Xenopus tropicalis: one gene and its partner. The protein of the gene in region 1 purifies or fractionates together with the protein of each later gene. This does not show direct contact. Links are inferred from orthologs where the notes say so. Each region holds a gene or a part of one and is shown on either strand. Other genes may lie near its edges.

Region 1 (4,478 bases):
ACAAAAGCATGATTGTGCATGGGGAGGGTTAAACTGTATTCTTAAAACAAGCCAGTGTGTCTGTGTGGACTTGAAAAGTAATGAAACATAATCTTCCTTCATGAGGAGAATAAAAGCATGTGATATAGGGGCTGAATTCTAGAGCTAAACGTGAATATGTGATATATGTACTGAGATACTGAATTTCGGAATTTAACGTATGGGGGCCCATTTATTAAAGTATGAATTTCGGATTGGTATAAGTACGATTGAAAAAAAACTATAATTTCTGATGTGCGTAAATTGTGCGAAAATTTGTGTCGTGGTCATACAAATTATCGTGGTTGCAATCAGACTTCAATGCATGATTTTGAAAGCTTTCTATAGGACTCAAAGGCACTCTGCAGCTCCAACCTGGCCAAAAGATAGTCACGATACCGAAGCCTGAATGAATAACGAAAGTTTTGTAGTCGTTAATAAAAGTACGACTTTTTGGTGGAATAACGAATGTATCACAAAAAAGTCATCCTTTTTTTAACAATATTATCATTAACAGTAAGAAAAGTTCTAAATACAAATTTTTTCTAATCGTGGTCATCTTGCTTTAATGAATGGGTCCCTTTGTGTTACTTTAGGGTTGCCACCTGTTTGGTTTTGACCTGAACAGTTCAGGTTTTCTTAGGGCTGTTTGGATCACAACTGGCTGTTTAGGTTTTAACCGTGTGAAACCCAAACAATAACAGAGCTGTCAACTCTACTATTTTTTCAAGTTACCCCATTTTGGCTTCTCTTCCCTGGTCTCCCAGCACCCAATGGCATTTCCCTGATTTTTGCACATTCTAACAAAGTTTTTCTTAAAATTCCGGGAGCACATGCGCAGTAAGCATTCGGTGATGTCATAGAAAGCATATGCACATTCAGAAGGGCATGTATCGTCAACAATTTATGTGCACCACAGGATCTCCCCTACAGAGGAGCATCTGGGGTTGATAGTGCTGCAATAATCTAGCCAACAGGGCCGCCATCAGGGGGGGACAGGGGGGAAACTGTCCTGGGCCCCGTGGATTTTTAGGATCTTAGGGGGGCCTGGCCGTCCCGCACTTATTGTACAAGCCAGGGGGGTTGGGTTGCCACCTCTGCCAGCTTTCCTCACCAGGCAGGGGGCGGGAAGAGGTGGGGCTATGATGTCATGGGGCAGGGAAGAGTTGGGGCAGTGATGTCACGGGGTGGGGTTATGATGCAGCATTCGCCTATTGGCCAATCACCGCGTCAATGCGGACGGGCAAATAGGAACAGATCTGCCAATCAGTGGGAAGTGCCAGAACATAAGAGACTTTATGGGAAGTGAAATACACACAGAATAAAGACAGAGGGTTCAGCCTAGGATTTGGGGAGTTCCCTCGGTTTGAAAAAAAAAATCCTGTAATCTCAAGGTAGTGAGCTGGTTATAGTGCACACTAAAGGGGGCGTGGTCAAAAAATGTTGTACTTTGCACTTTCATGTTCATGGGGGGCCCTACTTCCTGATAGCGGCCCTGCTGCCAATAACCACCTTAACCAAGGTTAAGGCCCTGCCCCTACAAAGGCACAAACGCCCCCAAATATCATGGCCCCACAGCCCTCTTGTCACCGCTCTGCCCTCCAATGTCATCATCATCATCTTGTACATTTTTTATTGAGGGCAAAGGTGGCATCCCTATTACGAACTCACGCCAGCCAAGAGCTGTCAATTCATTGGTAAGTATTGTTCCTTCAGTACTGCCCTACAAGCCTTTTGCAACAATTGTAAAACAAGGGCACAGCTGCCTTAAATACTATAAATAATTACAATATTATTTAGCGCAACAAACTCGCTTATAACACACGGTAACTAAGCAACCTTTACCACACGTAAGAAATGACGTAGATCAAAGGTACTTTTGCCCGAGACAAATATGGCGGAGAAGGAGGCCCACGTTCTGCCTGTACTTCCGACGCAGAGTATTTGTTGACGCTGGTGCCGCGCAGTCAGTGCAGCTTTCAGCCGCTGCTTTGAGGGGAGTGTAATAAAGTTCTCTGTACAAGAAAGAGTGGGTGAACTCGTTGAGGTGATCGGTCGGGGTCCCAGTCCTCGGGCTGGAGTTGGGGGAGAAGGCAGGGTGCCGAAGCGGGTGAGTCGCGGCTTATTTACCTAATAGACCTCATGAGAGCACTAGTTTCTACACTGTTGTTTTCCTTTGAAATAGTGGGGTGTGTTGGGGTTTTTTGATGGGGGAGGATAGGTACTATCCTATGTTGTGGTTCTGTTTTTATTTTCAGGCGTTTGTGTCTTATTGTAGCGTACATTTATACGTGTATATGTCTGCGTGTGTGTGTTTGTCTCTTATATACGTATGTGTATGTATATATGTGTTTGTGTGTGTGTGTGTGTGTGTTTGTCTCTTATATAAGTGTGTGTGTGTGTGTGTGTGTGTGTGTGTATGTATGTATCTATATATATGTGTGTGTGTTGGTGCCTGTATATCTATGTTTCTTTATATTTGCATTTGTGAGCATCTCCTCATGGTTGTTTTAAGCCACACATTCTAGCACCCACAAACTGACAGCCAACAGACCTGTGTAGGCATCCAGCATAGTACAAGAATAATATTTAGACACTTAGGTCTCTATTGCCATGAGAATAGCCTGGAAGCCAGAGGTAACTTTTCTGTCAATTCTAACTGAAAAACATGGCAGCTCTGAGGGCTGTTTCAGGTGTTTGGTGCTGTGTGTTTGGGCTACTAAAATGTATGGTTAGGGAAAATTGTCAAAATAACCTGTGCTATTGTTCTAGAGGGCAATTACAACAGAAATGTCACATTTAGGGCCTTCTCTGTATAGTAAATAGTAGACATTTAAGAAGTTTAGAATACAATAGTTTCATTACATTTACTTATAAACTAGGATCAGTTGTAATTTATGGTTCCCTGCACCCCTAGTAGACTTAAATGTGAAATTCGATTGGTGCTGTCATGAATGCTGGGCATTGTTAATTATATAAAAAAAAATATGCATAAAATGAACAACATGCCTTTAACAGCTACGACCTTCTTTGTACAGACAATTCATATGTAAAGGCTCCGTTACACCTTTTTTATAGTTTATAAGCCAACAGTAGGATGGAAATTCCTTCACCTGATGTGGGAATGCCCCGAGGTAGCACTATACTGGACAGAAGTCACCCGCTACGTTAATGTATGTTTATCCTTTCCTGGAATCAGATTTCCTAGGACCTGTTTATTGGGTATAATCGATGAAACAGTGCCCTTACACAAATCTAGAACACTACTACGCTCTGTTATGTTCTATGCAAAAAAAAAGTTGGTGATCATGAAATAGATGGACCCCAATTCTTCTACAGTGGGTTTAACTAATAAATAGTACACTACACCTGATCAAACTGATACACAATGCTCGGGGTGTACCTGGGAATTTTCAGAAACTATGGTTAGGTGTGAACTCTCATATACCCCTACCAGATGATTGAACTCTATGTATAACCCGGGGTACACCCCCATAACCCAGTGCTACATACCTTTCCTTTGCTCAGTGTCACTGTGGATATGACGTAAACAATTGTACCCAACCTAAGTGCTAAACAAATCTGTAAATGTTTTGTTTTTTTTGTTTTGTTTTGTTCTGCAAAATGAAAATAAAAACAATAGGATGGAGTCTACCCTAATTGTATATTAAAGGGAACAAAATTCCATGCCTAGGAAACTTCTTTTGAAACCTGTGTAAACTGAGTAACTTTGCAAACTGCAACTTTTGCAATTTATGTAAAGCTCATGTTTTTATGCAATTTTGTAGGTGCATCTCTAGAGACTTCTATGACTGCTGTCTCGAAGAGGCAACTGATATCGCAGAAGGCTGCAGATATCGGTCAACTCGTCGATCGGCCAGGTTAGAAGATTTTGATCGGGCGCTATTGAAGGCTCCCGAGCAAAATCTACGTTCAGGGTTGGACGGTAGGAACGATCTTTTGTGCGAACAATGGTCGCAAGAAAGATTGGAATTGCTACGTGTATGGCCACCTTTTAGAATTATTTGAATCTGACCCATCCAGCTTCCCATTTTATTGCCAACTTTCATGTAAATTAAACTATTGCCTGCTGATGTTAGTATTTTAGTGTATTTTATATTTCTGTAGCCAGTCTGTGCAGATTATCCTATGCATGTGTAATTTTCTGATGCAAAAGCCTTCTGTAGTATTTGTATATATATTTTGTATACTAAGATATTTGTACTATAGTATGTTAATTGTTTTATTTATTTAAATGTTTCTGTGGGATCATTCTAATAGAAATGTTTTTTCTGTTCACAGGTAATGGCAATGACAGAGCAAACTCCATGCATCTCAATGAGTAACCATACAAAGGAGCGGGTCACAATGACCAAAATGACATTAGAAAACTTTTACAGTAACCTCATCACACAGCATGAGGAACGGGAGCTTCGGTAAAGTTAACTGTCTATTCATTG
Region 2 (4,373 bases), on another chromosome or scaffold:
AAACGACCTTTCCATAATTTGGAACTTTCTGGATAACGGGTTTCCGGATAACGGATCCCATACCTGTAGAAGGTTACAGGCCCCTAGAATGAAAAGTAGAGGGGCATACATGTGTTTAAAATAGAACTGTGCCACTTTATTTGCTTTCAGACCTTGCTTAATTCCAGGTCTACTACTAAAAGCTACCCTGGGTCACCTTGGTCGAATATCGGAGACCTGTACCTTGGGGAGGTGTGTGCTTATATAAAAGAATACTGATGCCCCTGTTCCCTTATACACCCAGGTCTATTGATCCTCCTTCTAGCTACTCCCTGGTCCTTGAAATAGTGGCATGACTATCACTAGGTCAGTTCTTTATGAGAGGGATGGAAGCCTTTAGCCAATGTCGGACTGAGACCCCAGGGGCCCACCAGAAAACCTTATACCATACGCCCCCTCTCCAAACTATTTTTCCTCCTTTCCTCGCTGAACATCTATTCTTCCATCTATTTCTCCTCTTTGTTCCCATTCAGATATAGGGAATGACCATGAAGCAGGCCAATTGGTAAAGGGCAGGAGGGCTCACTGACACCTGGGCCCACTGGGAGATTTCCTGGTATCCTGGTGGGGCAGTCCGACACTGCATTTAGGGCTGGGGGGTCACTAACAAACCTTTCCATCAGTGTTTTATGTTTCTTTCTTTGGTCCTCGCTTTGAAGAAATCATTGTCTCTGAAAATACTACGGGTTTTTATAAATAACCAAACAGATATTTGAATGCCCACAAGGCCGGAGCATAGAAGACATCTTATTAAAAGCCCCGTTTAAGGCAGGGCAATATTGTTTTAACAGGCAGAACCAGCAGTGCAGAAATGGACAGAACATTTACTGCATTCATTTACTGCATTCAGTTGCACATCTATGTAACTGCAATTTTTTTTTTATAGATGTACACTGGAATTTAGAATGTGGCTAAAGGATTCCATTTCCTTTGCATAGGCAATGTTTTACTTTGTAATGGGACAGTCACAGGGACAACAAAAAAAATGTCTGTGGTAAGTATTGACAGCAAAGAAGTGAGAATGAAAAGGGCATGATATGAGCCAATTATGGATAAAGAGAGGCTTCAGAACTATTACGTGGAAAAGTCAAATGTTTTAATGTGTGGACTTTATGTTCATGGGAAAATAAACTCATACAGACAGAATAGAATCGAATTCACTTTCAGCACAACTACGCTTCCCAGAGTTCCTAGGGGTTGGTGACAGCCCCGCCTCCCCATGCTGTCCGGCTAGGTGACGTCAGACCCGGAAGCCTGCGTGCCCCGGGCGGTGCTGTGTTTACTTCCGCCCGAGCCGGAGCCGGGGGAGCGGGAGGGAGCGAGAGACCGAGGATGAGCTGAGCCAGAGTAGGCCGCAGATATGGAGTGGTTAATGGGGTAAGTGGCTAAAGGCGGGGTCGTTTCGGTGAGGTGGGGAGGATGAAGCCGGCTGAGCAGCCCGAGGGGGTGGAGCAGGTGGAGTGGCTCTAATATGAAGGGCAATGGGAGGGGTGACAGGAGGGGGGTCTGGGAGGATTTAGGGACATGGGGTTGCAGGACACTTACCTATAGGTGTACCAGTGTGGCGCAGCAATACAGTGCATGGCACGGGTTATTCATTGTGGGTCACTTTCCAGGAGTTGTTGACTACAACTCCCGTCATGCACAGCGATCCGGTGTTTGAAGCTTTGGCTAAAGAACAGCAGCAAGAAGGGGGGGGGGGGCTGCTGCAGGAGAGCAAGGAAATGCTACATGTAATGCATCAGATGTGGGTGCAGGACTGGCCTGCCCTGGGATCACAGTAGTTGGCCAACTAGCATTTATACCAATATAGGAACTAATTTCCCTTGCAGGCTTTGCAGAACATGACGTTGATATGGGTGAGTGCAGAGGTGTGTGTCTGTGTGTGTGTGTGTGTCTGTGAGGTGAGCTGGCGTTATGTAAGTGCAGGAGGGCCTATTGACTGCAGCACTGGCTAACCCTGGCAGCATCAGGGGAGGTGAGCTGGCATTATGTAAGTGCAGGAGGGCCTATTGACTGCAGCACTGGCTAACCCTGTCAGCATCAGGGGAGGTGAGCTGGCATTATGTAAGTGCAGGAGGGCCTATTGACTGCAGCACTGGCTAACCCTGGCAGCATCAGGGGAGGTGAGCTGGCATTATGTAAGTGCAGGAGGGCCTATTGACTGCAGCACTGGCTAACCCTGGCAGCATCAGGGGAGGTGAGCTGGCGTTATGTAAGTGCAGGAGGGCCTATTGACTGCAGCACTGGCTAACCCTGGGAGTGAGACTCAGGTTACTGTATTGACAGAGCAGCAGGGACATTGCTATAAGAGGGAATGTTTAACTATTAGGCCAATGGCAGGCTGGTCCCTCTATTACTGCAGTTGTACACCCCTGCCTGTCACTGCTCATAATGTGAATGGAAAGTGCCCCAGTAACTGCACAAGGAGCGCTGCCAGATGGAGCTCTGCTCTGCATTTCCCGCTGCTACTGTAAATACAGTAAAGTGCAAACATGTCTTATCTGTTGTATATATCTCTTGTTTAATTTCCAGCAGATCTCATGGCAGATGGAGGGGAATTAAAGGGACAGCATCATATATACAGTAGGGTGTATGCACCCAAGATTCGGTAGCTTGGGCAGTATCTGTAGCAAAGGAAAACAATTATATGTACAGAGCAGGAACCTACGGACTCTGACTCCATTGCTGTTCCTGAACTGCAATTCCCTGCATCAGGGAACTGTAGCTGCTTGAGGATTTAAATACCCTCTATTAGACTGTCGTTTGACGGAGCAGGAATATCATTGCTAGATGTGTAATAGCGAAAGTGTCAGTGTAGCTAGCCAAGAGTCCGACATGGCAGCCCCTGCAAGTGAGAGGGTATTGTGGTGTGCCAGGTAATACAGTACCCTCAAATACTCATTCCTAATGCCACACTCTTTGTTGTGCCAGCTTGGGCCTGTGTGCCAGGCAGTAGGCAGAGCGAGGGGGGCGGTGCCATTCATACCTGAGCTGTGTGACATTTCTCCTTCCTGCAAAGAAAGTGAGAACAAGTTTTTAGTCAAGCAGATATTTGAGTATTTAGCTTAACAACAGGCTTTGCCTTGGGTGAGGGCAGTTGAAAGACACAAAGAAAAGCAAAAGGAGGTTTGTGTTGTTCAGACCAGTGCTTGTGATGCAACAGTTGGCCCTGCACCTAATTACTCGTATTTAAGTCTGATGTAATATAAGATGAATTAAAGGGGAAGGTGTCCTTTAAATACACTTAAGGTGCCCATACACTTGAGGTCGCCAAGCGAGTGGATCTTCTCCTGATATCCCCACCTACGGGTGGGCGATATGGGGCGAATGTAGGCTTTGGTTGTTTGGCCCTGGGGCCAAAGGATCAAATTATAGTGGCACTAATGGGCACAGTTGGTGCAGGGACCGCATCAACGATCCAGATCAGGCCAGATTTCAGGCCAGATATCGGTCAGGCAGGCCCATAATTGCTGCCCACATACACGTGCATGACCACCTTTAGTGTGGTGTAGACAGTGATATTTTGAGATGTTTTAAAGTTGTCTTTGTTTCTTATTTTTTTTGTTGTTTTTAAATTGTTTAGCTCTCCAGTAACTATCTGGTTGCTAGGTTCCAGTTTATCCTAGCAACCAGGCAGTGGAAACTATTGTGTGTTACTGCAGTTCCCAAACTCACATCTAACTTTTAATTTAAGGGGCCAGTAGTAGTGAGGCAATTTGCTAATTGCTCATAGGCCGGAATATATAAACATAATAATGTCGTACCAAGCAGCGTATGGAGCCCATAGGCTGGCAGGGAGCTAAACAAATACCTTCCCCTGTGGGGCCTGCAGATGGACACCCCTTATGTAATGAATCGAATTAGTAGATGTGGGACATTTCATCTCGGTCCCCCATTTGCATTGCACATAACAGATGAGCTATTTAGATTATAATGGTTTTAGTGCTTAAGTGGAGATTATCAGGGGTCAGGGCACCTATAGGATGAAAGACTGATTTATATGAGAAGGACTCGAGCACTATCAGCAAGTATTTTATAGGCTGATAGTGGGCAAACCGTTAATGTACATACATTCATTTCACTTTACTCCTTTGCTAGCCCTTTAACTGAAAGGCTGCCAGATCTGTTAGGATGAAGACACACAGAGCTACTTGTCACTGCTACAAGAATAGAAAGTGTTGATCTTTTAGTTATAATTGTCTCTACGTGTGTTTTAGCAGAGGCAATTCCCAGTATGGTCTATGGCAGGGGATTTTCTGGAGTTTAGCAGCTGTGAGAGGTAGCTGCTACTTAGTAGCTCCGTGTGTCTTCACCCTTATATCCACCAAGGC

What was found.
Region 2: the proteins of stk38 (region 1) and mob2.1 purify together in Homo sapiens (affinity purification with mass spectrometry; 7 studies listed by BioGRID and IntAct, with this or other methods). This does not show direct contact. The link is inferred for Xenopus tropicalis from reciprocal best matches to the Homo sapiens genes STK38 and MOB2.

What each region holds. Positions count from the first base shown.
Region 1 is NC_030678.2:53,265,214-53,269,691, forward strand, and holds the start of stk38 (serine/threonine-protein kinase 38), read left to right. Parts: upstream 1-1,614; 5' UTR 1,615-1,622; coding exon 1,623-1,715; intron 1,716-1,925; exon of another isoform or gene 1,926-2,128; intron 2,129-3,806; exon of another isoform or gene 3,807-3,899; intron 3,900-4,320; coding exon 4,321-4,454; intron 4,455-4,478. UniProt on the Homo sapiens protein: Serine/threonine-protein kinase that acts as a negative regulator of MAP3K1/2 signaling. Converts MAP3K2 from its phosphorylated form to its non-phosphorylated form and inhibits autophosphorylation of MAP3K2.
Region 2 is NC_030680.2:21,644,636-21,649,008, reverse strand, and holds the start of mob2.1 (MOB kinase activator 2), read left to right. Parts: upstream 1-1,334; 5' UTR 1,335-1,399; coding exon 1,400-1,416; intron 1,417-4,373. UniProt on the Homo sapiens protein: Stimulates the autophosphorylation and kinase activity of STK38 and STK38L.